2 linked regions of the Tribolium castaneum genome follow. The protein of the gene in region 1 purifies or fractionates together with the protein of each later gene. This does not show direct contact. Links are inferred from orthologs where the notes say so. Each region holds a gene or a part of one and is shown on either strand. Other genes may lie near its edges.

Region 1 (11,142 bases):
AGTTGTTCCCGATGAAATGTAAATTAAAGACACTAATTACACTTTATACAGTGTATTAAAGCAGCTTACGTGCCATTGTCTGTGCATTCGTCTGTTGCCCATATATTTTGCCCATTTAGTGCCAACAGTAGCAACTGCACTCGCCCATAATTTTGACTCACTACTAGGTGAACACGATAATAAAGTCACTTTTCCAAGTAAATTACGGTCTCCTCTAAAAACAAATCTCAACTGTTATTTTATCTGCATTTAATTTACATGTTAAATGTGTCTCACATAGTAAAATAAATCACATTTGATGGCTTAATGAGTTGATGGTTCCAAGAAAGTTTATTTTTAATAAAGCTTTGCGGTTCCCGCAACTGCATAATCGTCAATATTATCGTTTCTATAATCGATGCATCAGTTTCGAATTCGGAATTTTCAGATGTTGCGACTGAAACAGTCTGAAATATCAGATTACGTTGCAACAAGCAGCTCATTGAGATAGACAGAGACGTCTTTGATCTGTCCTTTGATCCAAGCGTTTGAGATATTCCGGTCGGACGCACCGGTCCACGTTTATCATTTCTAATTACATGATGCATTGCTTTTAAAATGATTCTGCTTAAACGCACTGCATGCACACATGTCCCGAGCTTTGCGATTTCATCGCGATTGGCAAATGCAAACATCCGTTCTTACGTAGACCTTGAAAACGCGTCTATTTTTAATTACTATTCGCACTTTTTGGACTTGACTCTTAGCCTTCTTCCAGAATCCGCATCCGAAAACTCGCGAAGCGACGAAAAAACGAAAAAACCGAGACGCAACAGAACCACGTTCACCACCGTCCAGCTTGCAGCTTTGGAGAAAGTTTTTGAAAAAACGCACTATCCGGACGCCTTCGTCCGAGAGGATTTGGCGGCAAAAGTCAACTTGAGCGAAGCCAGAGTTCAAGTAATTGTCGAAAAAAATGCGATTAATTTTTGCTGACTATTTTTTTAGGTTTGGTTCCAGAACCGACGAGCTAAATTTCGCAGAAATGAGAGAAGTTTAAGTCTGCAGCAGACCCCAGCGACCAAATTATCTTGCAACAAGCCTATGACACCGCTGGCTCCTCGGACTGACTCAGTGGAAAAACCTTTATTTTCGCATCAAAACGTAATTCCTCCGCATGCTGCCTCCGATCTGCAATATGTGATGCCTTGGAAGTGTTCTCACGGACAATATGGACAGCCCGACTTATACGGCAATAATTTTAATTCGCCGATGGGGGGCCAAACGTGCCCTTTTCTCCCAACAAACCCTTTCAATTATTGTTCACCCAATATTTCAGCGGGCTCGATGTGCAACCGATTCGACGTAAACTCGCTGAGGTACAGGCATCAAGACTTTACGCTGTCGCCGTAGAAGTGCAATTTGAGGATAATTAACTTGTAAATTTACCACTGATTTAGAAAATAGTTGTTTATTACCAATTAAAGAATTTGACAATGACTGTTGTATTTTTTATTCTTTTTTCAGTGACCTTAGTGAGATACTTACTTACATATAGATACTTTTTACAAAAACTTTCTGGAATCATTTGACTAATTAATTAATTAAACTAAACAAGATAAATATTAAACGGGGCAGTGTTTAATTTTAACAAAAATATTATATTAAAGAACACGAAATATTTGTAATAAGTGTAAAAAAACGGCGCAATAAAAAGTTTATAATTTCTCAAACTTATAATTTTTTTCGGAAATATTTTTTTGGCGGGAAAATACTCTGACAAACATTACTCCTAATATAGTCAACTCACAATACGCGTTTGTGCTGGGTGTGACATACAATAAAATGTCAAATTGTTTGACAATTAAAAAAGTCAGGTTAAGACTAACCCTTTATTTTTATTTCGTAATTGTTCAGGTTTTTTTAATTTAATCTATGTATAAAATGTGTTAAAAATGGATGATAACTTAGACGACTACGACTTTACCCCTTCGTCTAGGTAAAATAAAAAAACACGTTGTGTGATCGGTGTTTTTTACAATTGTCTTTAGTTCAAATTTGGCTTCATTATTTGGCAATAATTCACCACATTCCGAAACCGCTAGCCTCATATACACTGCCCCCAAACAACCAAAGGCTGGAGGTAGTTCCGAAGTAAAAAACGAGGCCCCAAAGGCAGAAAGCAGTGTTGTTTGTGCAAAAGTCGTCCAAGTTTGGAAATTGTAAGTTTTCATAAAATTATGATTCAGTTAATAGAACAGTTTTAGAGTTGAGGGTAAATACCAAGCGTTGGGCAAATATGGCCTTGCTGTTATTGGATCAACAGTTCAAAATTCCTATGAAATTATTTTGTATAAAGAAAAGCGTAATGTGATAATGAGGGCTAAAGTATCGTCTAGTTTTGAAGTGAACTTAAAGAAGGACGATTTTGCTTCGTTTTACGACAATATTCAAGAGAACTGGTTGATCAAATTTAACAATAATGATGACCGTATGGCTGTTATGAACGTTATTGAAAAGTTCGGGTGTGTTGTAAATCGTGTAGTTGAAAAACAAGACCTCAAAACTGAAAAAACTGATGAAGTTGTAACGCCGGAAAATAAAGCTAAGGCTGATATATTGTCAAGAATTGCCAAAATGGGGCAGTCTATTTTACCGAATAAAGACTTAGATACAGATAATGATTCTGTTGAAAGTGCAGACAGTACAGTATCCACCCACCAAGTCAGCTCAACATCAGCTGTTATCAAGACTTCACATCAAATTCAAAACGTTCCAAATAATTTTGTTATGAGTCAACCGATGGTTTACGACCCTTTAAATTTGTTGTTTGCTGAAAACCGTGCACAAAATAGTGAAGTCAGGTTAAATTTATCGCAAATTTCGGACAAATTAAATCAGATTATTAGTTTGGTTGACTCAGATAAGCCCAGTGACAACTCAAATAGCTTGAAAAGTAGACTCAAAGTGTTGGAGTTGCGTAATGAAAACTTGTTGAGGGAATTGGGATCAAGTCAGGAAGAAAACGCAAAACTCAAATTACAATTGAAGGAACACGAAAGTAATTTGAAGAGTGAGGAAGAGAATAAACTGGAATTGAGGCTTTTGGAGGAACAAGAAACCGTCAAACGAGAGAAATTGGAAAAAGAAATTTGTGCACACAAGGACGAAATCGCTGCCCTTTCTAAAACCGTGGAGAAACAAATAGAAGAAATTGAGGCTTGCAAGCAGTCAGAATTAGCTCAGAAAGTTGAAATTTCACGCCTCGAAAATACCATTTCTGATTTGAACACAAAATTGCAAGGTTATGAGAATAAGGAAGCAAGACCAGAAATTTGTGAGGAAAAAAATGCGAAATTTATTGCGTCACTCAAGGATGCGATGAATAATATGTACGCAAATATTATGTCAAGTTGCAGCGAAGATCAGCAAACCGAAATCGGCAAAATTGTTGCCCAAAACATCAAAACCACGACACTACAAATAATTCAAAATTTCCAACAAGAGTATGAAAGTTAGACTGAGGGAAAATAATCATTTCCAATTATTTGTGATACGTATTATATTCGTTAAAAAATACTACAAAATAAACAATTCAAATGCATTTTTGTTATTTACAACACTAATTAGATAATCACAATTCAATATGCCTCTGCATTATCCTAGTTTCCAGATCCAAGTGAATTTTCTCGACCTTCCTTGCATGCTTTTTAATCGTGTCTTCCATCATCTGCATTCCGTTTGTTTTACCCCCTGCCATTTCCATTTTTTTCTTGTGCAGATCTTCTTTCAAGGCAGCTTCAGCCTGAAGATGCCTCAATTTAAGTAACCTATTTTCATAGTGCAGGAGCTCCACTCGTAACGACTCCAACTCGTCAGGTTTAAAGTTACTTTCAATTGCGATTTTCCATAAACCTTGAACTTTGGGTTCCACAAATTCTTTACTGTTGGGCCCCTTTGCCGCCAGCAAATGCAAGCGGTCGTAGCCGTCCCGGATATCCTTGTGCTGCTCCCTGAGGAGGTTCACTTTGTCCAGATAATCCTTGTTTGCCTGTGGCTCTTCCAGACTTTCAATGGTGTTGAATTTGTCTAAACCATCATCTACCGAATCTAGAATTAAAAAATTAATTTGTGGCACAACGATTGAAGGAACATACTGGCAGTGTTATCGTCTTGTTCCTTGCCTTTGACATCATGCAACAAAGCGTAATATTGGTCAACTTTATCCTGGTGGTGGGTAAATTCCTCTTTTAAAGCCGCCAACTCCTCGGCCGTAAAACCAGCAGTCTCGGCTTTTTCCCACAGTTTGTTCAACTTTTTATCTTTAAATAAACTCTTGTTTATGTATTTGTCGGAGGCCTCATTCAGAGGTTTATGAGCTCTATATTTAGACGGGTCTTGCACGTCATCGGCTTGGTCCAGTAAATTATAGGACCCCATTATTGTCAGCAATTTCTTCCTCAACTCGGCCTCTTTTAACCCGTCTTTGTCCTTCCCCTCTGCTTTCAAATGCTTCCAAGTGATTTCCTCTTTATCGTGCAATTTCAATTCGCCAAACAGGGATTTTAGTTTAGGTTCAGAGAGCCTCTAAATATTAATTTAATTAAAGCAGCTACTGGTTGTAAATACGTACCACCACAGCCTTGGACCATAAGAGATTTAATTTAGCCATCCTGAAAGGCTTATCCAGGTGCTTCAGCGACACCGGCCGAAAATCCACATCATCGTTCGATTTTTTCACATTCGCTTCGGCCGAATATTTATTGTGACAATGAGAAATCGACGAAAAACTAACAATTAACACACCAATTATCAACTTATCGATAGGACACATCTTTTTGGGTTATTTTTGAAAAGTTGGACGAAAATTTTTGACAGTTGCAAGCGGTTGTATAAATTTGACAGATGAGCGTCGTTGCAACAGCCAACTGTGCAACCTTACGTAGATTTCGTAGCCGTTATTTACTGGCGTGTTTATAACGTGAAAATTCTATTGACAAGAAAAACCTAATTATTTCCCGCATTTTCCCAAAAGTGGAAACCCTCATACAAATAATGTGGTATCTGTGACACCTTACCAATGCCTGCAAGCCCACTTAATAAATATCAATGGACCTTCATCATTTGATGAAAATGGCGAAGTTGAACCAATTTTAACAAAATACACCAAAATGTACAGATAAATCGCCAAAATAACATCATGGAACTCGATAGTATTACTAGATAGGACGTTGGGGACGCGTTTGTATTGCCAGGAATTTTGCCAGGGCTCAAGTTTTAATCCGAAATGTTTGAGTGAGGGGTACTTTTGAGTTCAACTTTTAAAAATGTCAAGAGGGTATGGGAAGTATCGCCGTGGAGGAAGTTCACATGCAAGTTTCCATTTCGACAATTTATTTAAGGAAAATGCTAACAAACCATCTGCCGCAAGGTCTGCAGCCACTGTGGGCAAGTGGGGCATCACCTCCTTCACTTCCATACGTACCAGCAATGGTAAGTTGCCCCTCGACAATTTTCGACATACAACTATAATTTCGCAACAGTTCTGTTTTTGTGGTCATTAATACTTATGGAATTGAGTTGATTTAGTTAGGTTTTTTTAAGAGCCAGTAGTTTAAGCTCTCAAAGCCCCCATTCACTGTAGTTGTTATAATCCAGGTTTGTCTCGTTCAGAAAACGAAAAAAACGCCTCATCTGAAGGAGAGTCCGTGCCGAAGCCGAAGAAGTTCTTCAAGAGTCGCAACACGGAACCCCCTGACCTGTCTTCGTCCTACAAGGCCGACATGACATACGGCAACGTAACAAAGAAGCTGAAATTAGTAAACGAACCGACGGAGAAATCCAAAAGTGTTGGTCGTAAATTTTTTTCGTCAAAGAGCAACTCGCCTGAAAAGACTGTACTAAGTTCAAATGTAAATAATTCTAAACGAAACGAAACAAAACCTCCAATAGTTTTAAGGATATGTAAAGGAAAATCCCAGTTAGTGAACGATTCGGACGAATCTGAAAGCACGCCCACACCATCCAGCACCCCATCGACTTCAAACGCCACCTCTCCAAGGGCTCTCAGGGACACAGCACAAAGATCACCAAATTGTCGCATCACCAGGTCAGCGAGAAGAAGCATGCAACAGGACCCCAGCAGCAGTCCGGCAACGGCCGACACTCCGACCGAATTCTCCCTCTTCACTTCGCCCAAACAGGACATAGACCTGTCCCCGCAATACATCCCAGCTGAAAGATACGAAATGGAGCGGAAAGCCATGTACGATAACTTGCTTAAACCAAACTCGCCTTCGCAGCTGTTCCCCGAAGAGAAGAACAGCACCGAAGATTCAGGAATTGATTACGTAGATAGCGAAATTAGTGCCGAAAAAGAGCCGGAAGAAACCGACAAAACCGAACAAATCGAAACTAAACCGAGTGAAACCATCGAAGAAAAAAGCCAACCGGTTGAAGAAACCAAATCGGGGGAAGAACCAGTGACCAAGGGTTCAATAGAAGAGGAATGGGACACCGACGAGGACAGCAACAGCACCACCCCAGACTCAGAAATCAAAACGCAGCTAACCGAGGATTCGGAACCGCTCCCACTGCCGGTGGAAGAGCAGAAGGAGAAAAGTGCGGAAGAAGGCGCCCCCGAAACTAGCCCTCCCGTTAAATTAGTTATCTCAAAGAAGAAAGGAAGTATTTTTAAAAGTAGACCTTTAGTTACGGACGTGACGAAAAAACGGCGCGCGTTGTACAGACACAAGTGGAGTGATGATAAAGACGCCACGCAAAAATCGAACGAAAATCCTAGTAGCAATAATACGGGTGGTTCAGTGTATGACGAGTTCAGTTTTAATGATGATCCTTTGACGAGGGTCACGGTTGGGGGCAACAGCGACGGCGAGGACGAGAGTGTGACCAGTATCAAGTGCACCAAGAGTGACAAAGGGGTGAGTTGTATGAAGACAAAAAAATACAAGCATTAAAAAGTAACTCATGTTTACAAAAAATTATTTTTGAACATTATATTAAAATTAAAATAATATTTATACGAAATTTAACAAATAAAATATATTTATTTTTTTTATTATGCCCATAGAACACTACATAATTTAATATAATTTAAATGGCCTCAATTTGGTGATGAACTGATGAATTTTTTAAAAGTTTTTTTCTGTAATATAATCATAAACTGTACTTTTAAACTAGTTATTAACATAATACAGCATGAATTAATTGTGTATTCCTGAATTTTTTTGAATAAAATAATAAGTAATTGAATCAAATAAATTGAAGCATCAAAAAAAATAAGAAGAAGATAAACAATTCACAGTTATCTATACTTGGAGTACAGACGTTCTGCTAATTTTTTAATTTAAATATTGAATATTACATAGTACCATAAGTAATTAATAATTCTTTTTACAACCGAATCATATATACTTGAAATATTTTGTAAACCAGTGTAATTAAATAAGAACAGGTTTTAGTTAATATAAACAAAAGTGAGAGACGCATTTTTTGTAAAGAAAACATTAAAAAAGCTTCATTTGGATGGTATTACGCATTTGTCAATAAAAAGTTATTTGCTAAAAAAATAAACGTTCTTGTTATTTCGCTTTGTGGACTGTTACTGTTTGGTTTATCTGATTAATTTGTATGTTTTCTCAGTTTTACACAGTCGTCCGCAACGTGAAGAAAGCCCACCAGATCCAGGAAATCGGCGAATTTCAAGAATTCAACGACGACGTGGAGTACATCCTTGATGCCTTGCAGGATAATAATCCAATCAGTACTCGCTGTTTATCGGCCATTACTCTAGCTTCTAAATGTATGGTGCCTGCGTTCCGGATGCACGTGCGTGCTCACGGAACCGTAGCTAAATTTTTCAAGGCACTACATGACGCCACCAAAGACCAAGTATTATTTCACCAATTGAAATTTCCAAATTACTCAAATCGTGTTTTAGAGTCTTGGTCTATGTACAGCGACTGTCATGTTCGTCCTGAGCCAGGACCGGCTCAACATGGACCTAGACCGCGATTGCCTCGAACTCATGTTAAACCTTCTCGAATCGGACGTAAGCTACCAGCAAGCGCTCGACGTCTGCGGCTTGAGCTCGGCCCAGTTGGAGAAAAATAAACAGAAAGTTAGGGAGCTGTGTGCCGAGATACAAAGTCAAGGGCATGCCATGCATCTGAATCTCGATAATATAACTGTGGGTCAATTGGCAATGGAGACGCTTTTGAGTCTCACGTCGAAAAGGGCAGGCGAGTGGTTCAAGGAGGAGCTGCGGGAGTTGGGCGGCTTGGAGCATATTATGAAGACGATATGCGAGTGCTGTAGACAGGTGTCTGATTATGTGGTTTCGTGGACTGATGCCTTGTTAGATAAACTTCGGAAAGTTGATAGGTGTTTACGTGTGCTGGAAAATGTACGATTTTTATGTGAATCGGCGCAAAATAACTTTTCACTTGTAGGTCACTCATAATAATGAAGAGAATCAAACGTACCTGTTAAAATATAATGATGGAGTAATTTTAGATACGCTCGTTAATTTGTATAAACTATGTGATGGTGAAATACCTCTGTATCCAGTGACTGATATAACCGATAAGGAGTCGACTGGGACTATAATAAGGGAAGCTCTTCTCGTAACTCTGAAAGTATTAATTAATTTAACACACCACTTTAGTAAACAATGTAGGTTCTGACAGTTAAAATTTCACCCAATTAACACTGTTTTTACAGCCATGGGAAGTACCTTAATAGGTTCGAGGAACGGCATTATTGAAACAAGCCTGCATCTGCTTCTCCAAGTGCCGCACTATATCCCCGAACAAAAGAAATTCGAATTGGGAGTTTTGGTAATAATTTATTGTGTCCCAAACTTCAAATAACCAACTATTCCAGGTCCTCATGTTGTTGATTAACCTTATTCAAGATAACGACAACAACAAGAAGCTGTTGATTGAAGCCAAAGCCCCGTCAAAGCTGGAAAGTATTTATTCAAGTGAGTCAAAAATCACTTCGGTGGTGTTTGCTGACTGTGAATTTGTAGGAGAAGAAAGTGCCGTTGAGGCTTTGATCGCGCAATTTTATCACTGGGAAGGGTGTGCGAAAATCGCTGAAAAACGGACCAACGCGATATTGGACGGTGAAAAAGATGAGAACAGTGGTAACGTTGCGTACAAGTCAAATGAGGAATTTATCGAGGAAACTGTCGCTAAATGTGAGTTATAATAATTTGTTGCGATTTTATAACTGTGTGGTTCTAGTGCTACAAAAAGCCGGCACACATATGGAGTACACCTTCCTGGCTTCGTACATCGTTATGTTGATTGGATTCCTGATAATGGACAACAAGGAGTACCAAAATAACGTGCGACAGTTCCTCCGTGGGAACAATTTTGCCGATATGGTCGAACTGTTGAAGAAGTTCTTCAATTTTATGAATTTAACTGCTTCGGTACGTGTTGTTTTGTTGCTAAATGTTGGTTTTATGATTGTTTTTTTTTACAGACGGAAGCGTCAAGCGTTTGCGCAATTAAAGCCACCGAAAAAGTCATCAAGTTTCTGGAAGAGTGTGACAGTCCTCCGCCTGAAGAGAAGCCGAGTTATACGGAGTGTATGGATCTTAGTTACACAATGGCACACTAGCATTTAAATATTGTAAAGAATCAGTTTTGGTAAATCGTAAGAACGTTTCAAAGTGGTGATTGACTATGAAAATGCACCATCATTTCTCTAGTACTTACAGTTTACTGAAATCACAAAAGTAGAAAAAATACAAAAAAATAGTCATATTGATAGTTGACCTAGATTACTGAACTGAAACATTTCATTCTTTATTTTATTACCTTATTCTGTTGTTAGTATTATTTAGTGTTAAGCCTATGAAATTTAACGTAAGGTTCAGTATGTCGTTTTATATTTTTATCGTGGCGAATTTATAGTTTTGTTCAAGTGTATATACTTACTACTGTATATGAATTTTCTTATTTATTTCATGACTAGATTACTTGTAAAATTACCATAATGTTATTTGGATTGTTTAAATATAATGTACATAATAAATACTGATACTTTTTAAAGTTTTATTCATTGAGTTTCTTTCAAACCTGCACAGACAATACTTCACGGGGCGATGAACAGACACCGTAGAAAAAAATTAAAAATACCTTCTTATAAAAAATTGGATTACCTTGTACCTACCTGTCCTAAAGAGTCCCATCTAATCAATAATGATTGTATGTTATTTAAACATGAGTCAGAATAATAATTTATTTCTCTTGGCCTCTGCGAAATAAATTGTGAAGATATGCAAATAATTTTCCCCTACGATTTTTATGTTGCCTACGTAGCACCCATCCCTCGCCCATTCATGGGTCTCAAAACGTGCAACAGGTGTTTTACAGTTATTTGTAACCTGAAACCACGTGTGTGCAGTTTTTGAATTTGTAAGTTCAGCAATGGCATTGAAAAATGCGCCTCGGGACGACTTTACTTCCGGTTTGACGCACGAATGCGGCGTTTTTGGGGCTATCGGCACAAGTGACTGGCCCAACACGAACTCTGAAATCGCTCAGATAATCTGTATCGGTTTGGAAGCCCTCCAGCATCGGTAAAGTCGCTGGGGTTATCAAACGAATGATTAATTATTTAATAGGGGTCAAGAGTCATGCGGTGTCGCAACAAGCGAAGGAAGCGAAGATTTTCACATCCACAAAGGCATGGGCTTGGTCAAGAACGTCTTCAATAACGACAATATCAGCAAACTGAAAGGCTCACTAGGGATTGGGCACACGAGATATGCCACTAGGGCCGCTTCGGCTGCTATCAATTGCCAACCGTTTGTGGTGCACTCCATGCACGGTTCCTTGGCCACGGCGCACAATGGCGAGCTAGTAAACTGCTCTAGTTTGAGGAAAAAGGTTCTAGACCGGGGTGTGGGGCTTTCTACGCACTCCGACAGCGAAATTATAACACAAGCTCTGTGCTTAATACCGCCAGAAGGCGAAGTCAATGGTCCCGATTGGCCCGCAAGGATCCGTCATTTCATGCAAATGGCCCCCTTGAGCTACTCGCTAGTCCTGATGCTCAAGGACCGCATTTACGCTGTTAGGGACCCGTACGGCAACCGGCCCTTGTGTCTCGGCAAAATTTTGCCCC
Region 2 (11,467 bases), on another chromosome or scaffold:
AAATCGATTAAAATAACACCGAATTTAACTGTAGCTACAATTAGGAAAAAAATAAACAAAAACTTACTTTATTGTTATCCATAGTGTTAGAAGTTAGAGTCCCTGACTGGTCTCTTAGAATGTAACTTTGTAAAAGACGCGATTTTTTTTGCAATTCTAAAACTAGAGTGTTGACGTGTTCTTCCAAAAAATCGAGCTTTTCCGATTTTCGCGCACTGATTCGTTGCAGTTTGACTATGTGCTCGATGAGGGTTTGCCGGTCCAGGCCGGGGTCAAGTTGGATAACCTGAGGAGACAACTGTTACCAAAAAACGAGAAACTAAATACTTAAAAATAAAAAAAATAGTGCAAAAATTATATCTTAAACTAGATTTTAAAAAATAGTTTTACCAATTTGCACTCTGTCCCATATTTTTCAAAACGCTGCGAATACGGTTACAGATACAAGAAAAATGTCCAGAGGAAAATTGTAAAAAATTAAATTTCCTTTAAAAAAAGTCCAAATTTTATTCATTCAAAAATTCATAATTCGAAAACTAAAAGTCGTAGAGCAATGCGGTTTGCTCCATTGAATTCCGCGGCTCATTTTCTGTATTATACCAACTTTTCATGAGATTTAAAATTTTCAATTTTTTTGCTTAAAGTTACACTTACCTTCAAAGAGGTGAAAAAAAATTTTTTTTAAACTCACTCCAGTAAATTTTTATGGACTTCTCCATGTCTTAACAACCCATAAAAGTTGTTAAAAGTCCACAAAAAGTCCATATGTTCGATTTTTTGGTGTTTGATTTTTTCAATTTTCGTCGCAGTTTTTGTCGGTTTTGGGTACCCGGAACATTTCTCGAGCAATAGCTCCGGAACTATCCGAGATAAACCCATGAAGTGTATTATCGTTGGAAAGCTCTTTAAATTATCTATTTTTTTCAAAAAAAATTATTGTTCTCCGACTAATAGTTTTCGAGCAAATTGGAGACAAATGCAAAATTTGGTAAAATTTTAAAAAATTCATAACTAAAAAACTATCGAGAATTTGGCAATTTTCTTGATGCCAATCGATTCCCCGGATCATTTTGCATAGGCATGGATCAAAATAGTTCCACTTTTTATAATAGTTTAGCCGTAAATGAGAAAATAAAAAAAATTAAAAAAAAGTTAACACCCCCCCTTAGAAATCGGTCAATTTTTAAAATGTCTCAAAATCAAATAAAACCGACTCTATCTTATAGATTTTGATGTGCTCTTTCCGATCTAAAAAAGCGTTTTCTCCTAGCTCTGTTAGTTTGGCCGTAATCGGCGTTTGAAAATTGAAAAATTTTTTGCGAGATATCGCCTTCAGTCCTATGCCATTTTGTAGAGTTTTTTATTCCGGTTATCCTCCATTTTTCCGTTTCGCGATATCTTTAATAGTTTGGCCGTAATTGGCGGTTGAAAATTGAAAAAAAGTGAAAATGGAAACCTTTTTTTGCGTTTTTCTCGGAAACTGTAAGACTTAGAGCAACGAACAAAAAACATCTGATAGCGCTTAATTTTAGCTATTTTTTGGTCTAAACCCGGAGCCGCTCCGGGCAACGGTTCCCGCTACAGAGGCGATCAAAGTTTTTCACTTAAAAAATTCATAAAAAAAAAACTAAAAGTCGTAGAGCAATGAGGTTTGTTCGGTTGAATTCTACGGCTCATTTTACAAAATATATCAATTTTTCACAAGAATAAAAAATTTATAATTTTTTGCCTAAATTTAGCGTAGCCATTATTTATGGTGAACAGTTTTATTCAACAAAAAAATTCATAACTCGAAAACTAAAAGTCGTAGAGCAATGCGGTTTGTTCCATTGAACTCAGCGGCTCATTTTCTGTATTATACTAACTTTTCACGAGATTTAAAATTTTCAATTTTTTTGCTAAAATTTCCTGAGTAATAACACTTACCTTCAAAGAGGTGAAAAAAATTTTTTTTTAAACTCACTCCAGTAAATTTTTATGGACTTCTACATGTCTTAAACAACCCACAAAAGTTGTTTTTAGTCCACAAAAAGTCCATATATTCAATTTTTTGATGTTTGATTTTTTTAATTTTCGTCGCAAATTTTGTCGATTTTCGGTACCCGGACATTTCTCGAGCAATAGCTCCCGAACTATCAGAGATAACCCCATGAAGTGTATTATCGTTGGAAAGCTCTTTAAATTATCTATTGTTTTAAAAAAAAACTATTCTTCTCCGACTAATAGTTTTCGAGCAAATTGGAGACAAATGCAAAATTTGGTAAAATTTTAAAAAATTCATAACTAAAAAACTATTGGGAATTTGGCAATTTTCTTGATGCCAATCGATTCCCCGGATCATTTTGCATAGATATGAATCAAAATAGTTCCACTTTTTAGAATAATTTTGCCGTAAATGACAAAAAAAAAATAAAAAAAGTTAACATTATTTTAAGCAGAAGATTGCGGAAATATTCAAAAAAAATTTCTCCCAACGCAAACAACCTTAACTTGCTCGTTGGCCGGCGACCCCACACTAAGCGACGAATTCGAGCTACTACTACTCTGGTTCTCCACCTCGTACTGTTCCAGCCTTTTCCGACACTGTTGCAACTCCTTCTGCACCTCCTTCAGCGACAACTCGCACTTCCGCTTCAGCAACTTATTTTCGCCCTTATGATCCCCCACCTCCTGCTTCAACCTCTCGCACAAACCCCGACTCTCGTCCAACTCCACCCTCAACCCCTCCACTTCCGCACTCAATTTGGCCCTTTCTGCGGTCATTTGCGCCGAAACCACCGCATTTTTCGTCTCTTGCTCCTTCAGCGAGCGCTTGAGTATCGTTTGCTCGCAACTCAACTGCTGGACTTTGGTCTCCAGCGCCGTAAACTCCGACTGTAATCGCACATTCTTCTCGGTCAACTGTTGCGTGAAGAGCAACAGTTCAGCCTCGCGCTCTCTACAAGCCAGGATATCGGCCTCGAGCTCGGCGTTGCGCTGCTTTAAAAGACTGATTTGCTCGTTACAAGCTTTATTCTGCTCTTGTTCGTTCTTTAACTGTAGTTTTAATTGGTCTAAGAGGGCCGTTTTTGCTTGTAAGTCGGCGCAGTCTTGGCGCTGCTGGTCGGCACAGGCCTTGAAATCGCTCAGTTTCTGCTCGCTTTCCAGGCGATCGCGCTCCAAGTGCTGCACTTTGAGGGAGAGAGCGTTGTTCTCCTGCAGCATGTCTTTCTGCTTCGTTTGGAGCTTCTCCAGCTGGGAGTGGAGGGATTTGATTTGTTGCTCCTTGTCTTCTTTCTCGTGCTTGAGGAGGATCAGAGCAGCTTGGAGCTCCTTCAGTTGTTGGTCAAGGACGTGAGCTCGGTTGTCCTGGGAGCTGTGAAACGATTTGATCGATTCTTGCGCGTCTTTTTTCGCCTGTTCTATCTGATCGGAGGCGTCCTGGCATTTTTTTGTCATTTCGTCAAGACGGCTCTGGGTTTCCTGTAATTAAATAAAACAGCTACTTTAAAAAGTCCGGGTACTGTACTGACTTTGTGGAGCTGGACCTCCGTCTTGAGGCTGTTTTGGGACCACTTGAGCTTCGTCTCCAGGGCGCTCAAGTCGGCCTTGGCTTGCTCCAGCTCCTGTTGGCAGCCCCTGAACTCGTAACACTTGTTATCGAGCATTTGGCAAATTCGGGACTTCTCTGAGCCCATCACTTGGACCTTGTGCTGGATTATTTCATTCTCGTTGACTTGCTCTTTGTATTTTTTCTCGATTTGCTCCTTCTGGTGCTTCATATCAAGCAAGTTCTTCTCACTAACGGCATACTTGATCACCATTGCTTCCTTCTCCTTCTGGGCCAATTCTTTCTGCTTGCTTGCCTTAAAACACCAATTTTACTAACAATTAACGCCAAAATTGTGAAAAATTACTAGGTCTAGTTTGGACTCCACGAGAGACAATTTCTGGGTCAGCTGTGCGATTTCTTCAGCCTGTTCTAATACCTTGTTTGTGATTTCGATTGATTGATTCTCGTTGATGTCAACAGCGTCCGGTGGGTCTTTAGCTTCATTTGGACCCCCTTGAGGGCCCACATTGGGGCCACCTTCTGACATGAGTGAGGTCTCCGGAGACTTATCACTCATTGTAAGTTTAGAATTATGACCAAAATCACATTTTAAACTGTTTAAATTGTTCCCGATCAATAGAATTTGTAATAATATTCTAATTAAACATATTTAACACTTCGATTTACCAACACAACTAGACAACCAACATTACATGCCACTGACGTCGACAAGTTGTGGCTAAAGCTACGCCCAAACGCCCGGCCTTGCGGCCCCAATTATTAAATTACGACGCCTTTAATTACAACTTTGTCACTGTTTTACGATTGCAAGGACTCAAATCAATAATCTGGGCTTCAAAGTGTTTTTTTTAAATGCGATAATTCGCTAAATTATCAATTCATCAAGTTACCACAATCGTCAACTGTCACCAGGGTTAGTCAAGCGGCATAGGAGAAACGGTTTATTAAATCATACTATCAACATGCGGCGCCACGTGCGTTATCTATGCAGATTTCTGTAAATTTGGGGTACGTGGCACGGTCGTTAATAGAAACTACTTATGCCATCTTTTGGTAGTGTGATTTCAAATTAAATCCACGAATTTATCCAAAAATCCAAAATATTAAGCAACCTTTGGCGCGCAATGTCACACTACATTCAACGGTGTCAAAAAGTTGTTTCAATTTTAAAGGTTTCAGTTTCCAATTTGAATTATTCTGCTACGTGTTGTGTTCGTGGTTTTCTCTTTTTATTCTTATTTGAATTCGTTTGTTGGTGTTATGTACTCCTAAAGTAATCTCAAAAACATTTAAGTTTTGAACTTTCGAAGGCTAAAATTTGGTAAGTCGGGATTTTTTTGCCACCAAAAATACTATGTAATACATATTTCCAGCTCTGGTGTGGACCTAGTATACACTTAAAAGGCAACCTACAACGTTTATTAAACAACTTCTGGCTGGCTGGTACACATGATTCTGGAAACAGTGCATCTCTTTACTTGTGAGAGCTATCCAGAAACAAATCGACGTGGACACCAAAAATAACTTCGAGAATTTAAACCAAATTTCATTTTTTGAGTGGACATCTATGATGGACACCGTTTAAGACTTGTACCTTGCACATAGTGTCTTTTATTTAATACACGCGTTCATTCATTCATTTGTACAAAAGCCACAAAAACGTATCTTGAACTCCCTCCTTTTTACCGTTAAGTTTCAAAACTGGTGAATCCACCAAAGTGGAGTCCTTACATTAAAATCAGAAAAACCTCTTACTCATAATAAGTTCATATAAGTAAATTTGTTGTAAAGTCATCTATGTGAGTCTACAACCAACACGAAAACATACAAGAAATGTTTGCACAAACTATTAAAAGCACTACTTTTCTGTAAAAATTGAATTGGGCACATGTCTAAAACTCCAATGGTACCTTATTAGAGTCCGTATTTACTTATTTAGTTCTTTAATTTTTTTCCAAGTTTCAAAATAATGTTAAATAACTGGTGTTTGATGGTGAGGAAGTCGCCAAATTAATATGTGGAAGCCAAACACGACATTTATTTCTTATAATTGATGTTTTCATAATCTGTGAAACGTTAATTCATTAATAAATTATTTTCATTCATTGTATTTATTATTTTTATATTTATAATACTAACAAAATTTTGCAATTAAACACATTTAACCGATTTTCAATAAAATCGGTTATGTGTGTTTAAATTGTAAAAAAATAAAAAAATTAAATTAATTGTATAAATAATAAAATATTTAAATTTGCCGCCAATTTTAGTTCCTCATACTACCAAGATATGGCGCTATTATCGAAATTTTGACGACCAGTGAATTACGTGTTACTTGATTTTCTATAACTACTATATTCTATGACTGTCACAAAATGGAGGCATAAACTAAAAATGTTTACATTTTGATTTTTGCGTATAATTTGCGAAAAAGTGCTTATTCTAGTGCGTGTCTAGTGATAGGGTCGCAAAATGCACATAAAACAGGTAATGGGCGTTTTTTCTGTCGCAAATTTCACTCGGCGTCCCTCCGGTTGTAGGTTATTATCCAGGGCTTCAAAAGCTACAGAGACCAGACTGTGGTCGAGCCGTTCGACAAGCGCCACAATGTGGTCGTGGGGCGTAACGGTTCAGGCAAAAGCAACTTCTTCTACGGTAATTACCACTAGAATTTTCCCAAATAACCCCCCAAATTTCCAGCAATCCAGTTCGTTCTAAGTGACGAGTTTTCGCACTTGCGGCCCGAGCAGCGCCAGGCGCTTCTGCACGAAGGCACGGGTCCGAGAGTCGTCTCGGCCTACGTTGAGATTATTTTCGATAATTCGGACGCTCGTGTTCCCGTAAGTGTTGGTAAAAAATACAGAAATGGGGTTTAATTTGTGTGGTAGCTCGAGCATGAGGAGATCTACTTGCGGCGTGTAATTGGGGCGAAGAAAGACCAGTATTTCTTGAATAAGAAAGTGGTGCCACGGAGTGAAGTCATGAATTTGTTAGAATCGGCCGGTTTTTCCAACTCTAACCCGTACTATATCGTCAAACAGGGGAAAATCAATCAGATGGCGACAGCGCCTGACGCCCACCGGTTGAAATTGTTGCGTGAAGTTGCAGGAACGCGCGTTTATGACGAAAGGAGGGACGAATCAATGGCGATTTTGAGGGAGACGGAGGGCAAGGTTGAGAAGATTGAGGAGTTTTTGAGGACGATTGAAGAACGTTTGAGTACGCTTGAGGAGGAGAAGGAGGAGCTGAAGCAATACCAACACTACGATAAAATTCGGCGGGCCCTTGAGTACATTATACACGAAGTGGAGTTGAATGAAAATAAGAGGAAGCTTGCTGATGTAATTATTTTTTGTTGGTCAGGTTTGTAAGTGATTTTCGGATGTTTACAGCTTGAAAAACAAAGAAACGAGTCGGGGAACGAGCAGGAGAAGTTGGCGGTGAATTTGAAGAAGGCACAAGATAATATTAAAACCCTCACAAAGAAGACAAAAGAGACGAAAAAAGAACTGACGAGTTTGAAGGAAGAACGTGATATTTTGACCAATGATCAGCAACATTTGATCAAGGAAAAGGCCAAACTGGATTTGACTATTAAGGACTTGTCTGAGGAAGTGCAAGGAGATAATAAATCGAAGGAAAGGGCTGAGAATGAACTGGCGCGTTTAACACAATCTATTAAAGAAAAAGAAGCAGAATTGGAGAAGGTCAAGCCCCAGTATGAAGCAATGAAGAAGCGGGAAGAAGAGTGTACGAGAAATTTGGCTCTAAAGGAGCAAAAACGCAAGGAATTGTACGCTAAACAAGGACGAGGGAGTCAGTTTACGTCCAAGGATGATAGAGATAGGTGGATTCAAAATGAGTTGAAGTAGGTATTTTTTTCTACAATAGGAAACCAACTAGTGGACGTGTTTTTTTTTTCAGATCTTTGAATAAGCAATTAAAAGATAAGCGTGAGCATCGTGACAAACTCGAGGCCGACTTGAAACGCGACGCTGCTAAAACAATCGAACTGACGAAAAAAATCGAAGAACAATCGCAAGAATTGGAACGTCAGAAAAACTGTATCGACGAACATAACAAACAATGCTACGAACTCAAGAAAAACAAAGACCAGTTTCAAGCTACTAGAAAGTAATTTTTTTTTCGTTTAGTTTTTCTCCTTTAGTAATAAAAAAATTGCAGCGAATTGTGGCGTAAAGAAAACAACGTCCAACAAAACCTCTCCTCTCTTAAGGAAGATTTAGCCAAAGCCGACCAGCAATTGCGTTCAATGGCCGGTAAACCAATCCTCAATGGACGAGACAGTGTCCGGAAAGTTTTGGACACGTTTGTGAGTCGTGGAGGGCGCGAAGCCGAAATTGTCAAATCGTATTATGGTCTTGTTATTGAAAATTTCGATTGTGAAAAAAGTATTTATACAGCGGTTGAAGTCACGGCTGGAAATCGGCTTTTTCACCATGTTATCGATTCGGATAAAATTGGGACGCAAATTTTGAAGGAAATGAATCGACAAAAACTGCCAGGAGAGGTCACTTTCATGCCTCTGAATCGACTCAATGTTAGAGATATCAACTATCCAAATGACTCGGTAAGTATAGGGTGAGGCACATGTTAAAAAATCATATCTTTCTTATTATAAAAGAGACACATTTGAAATAAAGACATTATAAAGGCACTTTTTTTCAGAGAATTTAATAATGTTATCAGCGATTTTTTTCAACCATTCGTTTAACTGTAATAACAAAGTTGTATTTTTTTAAATGGGAATCATAGTTGGCTGTGACATTTTCGAAAAGCTTATTTTTTTCTGATTTGATATGTCTATTTGTGTAATACATTAAATTTAAATATTTAAGAAAAAACAAAATATTTCGCTTTTTTTATAGTAGGCCATGAAAAAATTTTGGATTTTTAATTAACACTATGAAAATTGTATTACCCAACAAATATTTATAATTTAATGATTTTTTAAACCCTAATTAATTCAAAAACAGCATAATAAATTTTTATTAGATCAAATTTTTGCAATTAATAAAAATTATTTGTTTTTATATTTAAAATGGCAAGCTTACGTTGTCATTCTATTTTCCAATTTTAAACATGAAATGTCGGAAGAAGAAAAATCTTATTAATTGTATGATTGCGTATCAATAAAATTTTATTTTACAAAAAAATGTCAATCCAAACACCAAAATCAAATTCCATCTGCGGTAAAAAAATACACAACATTTTCAACGTCACCTCCATTGCACTAAATCATAAAAAAGTGGCATCAAGTGGTAGTGAGACATCATTTACAATTTTCTGCACATTTTTTATGTAATTAAAATCTGCGACGCTCGTATATTTGTTCAATTAAAAATAACTTTAGCTTATTTTTATAATTTCACATTTTTTACTTTAATAACCGTTCACAAAATTTCTAGATTATTCACACCTTTTATGTGAAATAATTTTTCCATGGCCAACTATTTTCAAATATTTGAATATATTTTTTATCAAAAAAATATAAAAATATCAAAATATATTTATATTGTTTTGAGTTCAGAAAAAAATAAGCTTTTCGAAAATGTCATAGCCAACTATGATTATCATTTAACAAAATTCAACTTTGTGTTATTACTGCTAAACGAATGATTAAAAAAAATCTCTGAAAACATTATTAAATTCTCTGTAAAAAAGTGCCTGTATAATGTCTTTGTTTCAAATGTGTATCTTTTATAATAAAGAAGATACGATTTTTTTAAGATTTCGCTAAAATGTCAACTTTTGTTTATAAGTCGAAAACAAAAGACGATAGCGAGACGCCGTTTTGACCAAAATTATTCTCTCAAAAAATGGACCCGAGAATTTCATTCGTTTTTCTCTAAACCTGTTTGAAAAAAAAATCGAAATTAATATTTTTCCTAATAATTTTCAGGACGCCATTGCGATGGTTTCGAAGTTACACTACGACCCGAAATACGACAAAGCGATGCGTTACTTATTCGGCAAAACATTGATTTGTCGTAACCTGGATGTGGCCACAAAACTGGCCAGGACCACAGGCCTTGATTGTGTGACGTTGGAAGGTGATCAAGTCTCATCCAAAGGCTCCCTAACCGGTGGTTATTTCAACTCGAATCGTTCCCGTCTCGAAATGCAGAAAAATCGCAGCGAAACAATCCAACAAATCTCGCAATGTGAGAACGAATTAAAATCATTGCGCGAGGAATTGACCAAAACCGAAGCTTCAATTAACAGCATTGTCTCCGAAATGCAGAAAACCGAGACGAAAAATAGCAAAGCAAAAGGGATTTATGATAAAGTCAAGGGCGAGTTGAGGCTAATGAAGGAGGAGTTATCGAATATTGAACGATTTCGAGGGCCGAAAGAACGCTCTCTCGCCCAATGCAAGTCCAGTCTGGAAGCCATGCAGTCAACTCAGGAGGGCCTCGAAAGTGAGCTGCATCAAGAGTTGTTGTCGCAGTTGTCGTTTGCTGATCAGGCCGAGGTTGATACGTTGAATGATGACATTCAACGGTTGCAAAAGGAGAATAAGGAGGCGTTCAGTACGAGGATGAAGCTCGAAGCTGAGAAAAATAAATTGGAGAATTTGTTGACGAATAATTTGATTCGGAGGCGGGATGAAGTGTTGCATGCCTTGCAGGAGATCTCGCTTGAGGATAGGAAACGGCAGTTGGTGAACTCGAAGAGCGACCTGGAGGAGATTGATAGGAAGATTGAGAGGGTTAACAGGGAGTTGACCTCAATGGAGAGCAAAGTCAAGGAAATGGCCAAAAGGGTAAGCAAAAAATTGAAAAAAAATAAAATAAAATAAAAATTTCTGTTCTAGTTAAAAACGGAACAAGGCGAGTTAGAGAATTGGAAGAAAAAGGAGAAGGACGCCCAAGACAAGATCGACGAGGACGCGAAACATTTGGAAAAATACGCAACGAAGCAAAACCTCCTCGAGCAAAAAATCCAAGAATGCGTGGAAAAAATCAACCAATTGGGGGCACTCCCAGCCCAGGATTTGTACTCCCATTATGTGAAAATGTCGTCACGATCGGTAATAAATAATTCTGTCAAAGTGAAGCCTATTTTATTCACGTAATAACAAAATTTTAGCTTTTCAAAGAATTGGAAAAAACCAACAACCAGCTGAAAAAATTCAGTCACGTGAACAAAAAGGCCCTGGACCAGTTTATGAGTTTCTCCGATCAGAAGGAAAAGTTGCAGAAACGTAAAGAGGAACTAGACCGCGGGTAAACCCACTTGGTGTTTGAATTAACTTCCAATTATACATGTTTTAGTGGCGAAAAAATCAAAGAACTGATCGCAATGTTGGAACAGCGCAAATTAGAGGCCATCCAGTTCACTTTCAAGCAAGTCTCGAAGTACTTTTCGGAAGTTTTCAAAAAACTGGTGCCTGCCGGTAAGGCTAAGCTGGTGCTGAAGACAGTCGATAATGAGGAGGGCAAGGATGTGGGCCCGGAAGACACAAACTCGGACCAGTTCAGTGGGATCGGGATTAAGGTCTCGTTTACGGAATCCGACGCCGAGATGAAGGAAATGAACCAGTTGTCAGGGGGGCAAAAGTCGCTAGTGGCCCTAGGCCTGATCTTCGCCATCCAAAAGTGTGACCCTGCTCCGTTTTACCTATTTGACGAAATTGATCAAGCTTTAGACGCCCAGCATAGGAAAGCTGTGGCGAATATGATCCACGAATTGTCGAGCGAAGCCCAGTTTATCACTACAACGTTCAGGCCCGAATTGTTGGAACATGCCCATAAGTTTTACGGGGTTAAGTTCAGGAATAAAGTGAGTCATGTGGAGTGCGTGACGAGGGAAGTGGCCAGGGATTTCGTCGAAGATGACCAAACACATGGCTAAATAAGTTTCAAAAATTTGTTTTTAACTCAAGTTTTG

The links.
Region 2: the proteins of wapl (region 1) and SMC3 purify together in Homo sapiens (affinity purification with mass spectrometry; 7 studies listed by BioGRID and IntAct, with this or other methods). This does not show direct contact. The link is inferred for Tribolium castaneum from reciprocal best matches to the Homo sapiens genes WAPL and SMC3.

What each region holds. Positions count from the first base shown.
Region 1 is NC_087397.1:5,064,421-5,075,562, forward strand, and holds wapl (protein wings apart-like), read left to right. Parts: upstream 1-5,306; coding exon 5,307-5,472; intron 5,473-5,637; coding exon 5,638-6,920; intron 6,921-7,641; coding exon 7,642-7,890; intron 7,891-7,939; coding exon 7,940-8,404; intron 8,405-8,450; coding exon 8,451-8,673; intron 8,674-8,721; coding exon 8,722-8,837; intron 8,838-8,883; coding exon 8,884-9,202; intron 9,203-9,248; coding exon 9,249-9,439; intron 9,440-9,492; coding exon 9,493-9,630; 3' UTR 9,631-10,070; downstream 10,071-11,142. Other genes in the region: paired mesoderm homeobox protein 2, read left to right, coding at 758-939, 988-1,392; uncharacterized protein LOC103315102, read left to right, coding at 1,935-1,978, 2,031-2,201, 2,247-3,498; alpha-2-macroglobulin receptor-associated protein, read right to left, coding at 3,614-4,089, 4,137-4,566, 4,613-4,813; amidophosphoribosyltransferase, read left to right, coding at 10,443-10,594, 10,640-11,142. UniProt on the Homo sapiens protein: Regulator of sister chromatid cohesion in mitosis which negatively regulates cohesin association with chromatin. Involved in both sister chromatid cohesion during interphase and sister-chromatid resolution during early stages of mitosis.
Region 2 is NC_087400.1:606,026-617,492, reverse strand, and holds the start of SMC3 (structural maintenance of chromosomes protein 3), read left to right. Parts: upstream 1-5,887; 5' UTR 5,888-6,025; coding exon 6,026-6,040; intron 6,041-6,093; coding exon 6,094-6,208; intron 6,209-6,253; coding exon 6,254-6,393; intron 6,394-6,441; coding exon 6,442-6,894; intron 6,895-6,945; coding exon 6,946-7,421; intron 7,422-7,477; coding exon 7,478-7,687; intron 7,688-7,738; coding exon 7,739-8,144; intron 8,145-9,476; coding exon 9,477-10,340; intron 10,341-10,391; coding exon 10,392-10,607; intron 10,608-10,666; coding exon 10,667-10,803; intron 10,804-10,851; coding exon 10,852-11,431; 3' UTR 11,432-11,467. Other genes in the region: Golgin104 (coiled-coil domain-containing protein 186), read right to left, coding at 68-286, 2,485-3,462, 3,513-3,845, 3,897-4,109. UniProt on the Homo sapiens protein: Central component of cohesin, a complex required for chromosome cohesion during the cell cycle. The cohesin complex may form a large proteinaceous ring within which sister chromatids can be trapped.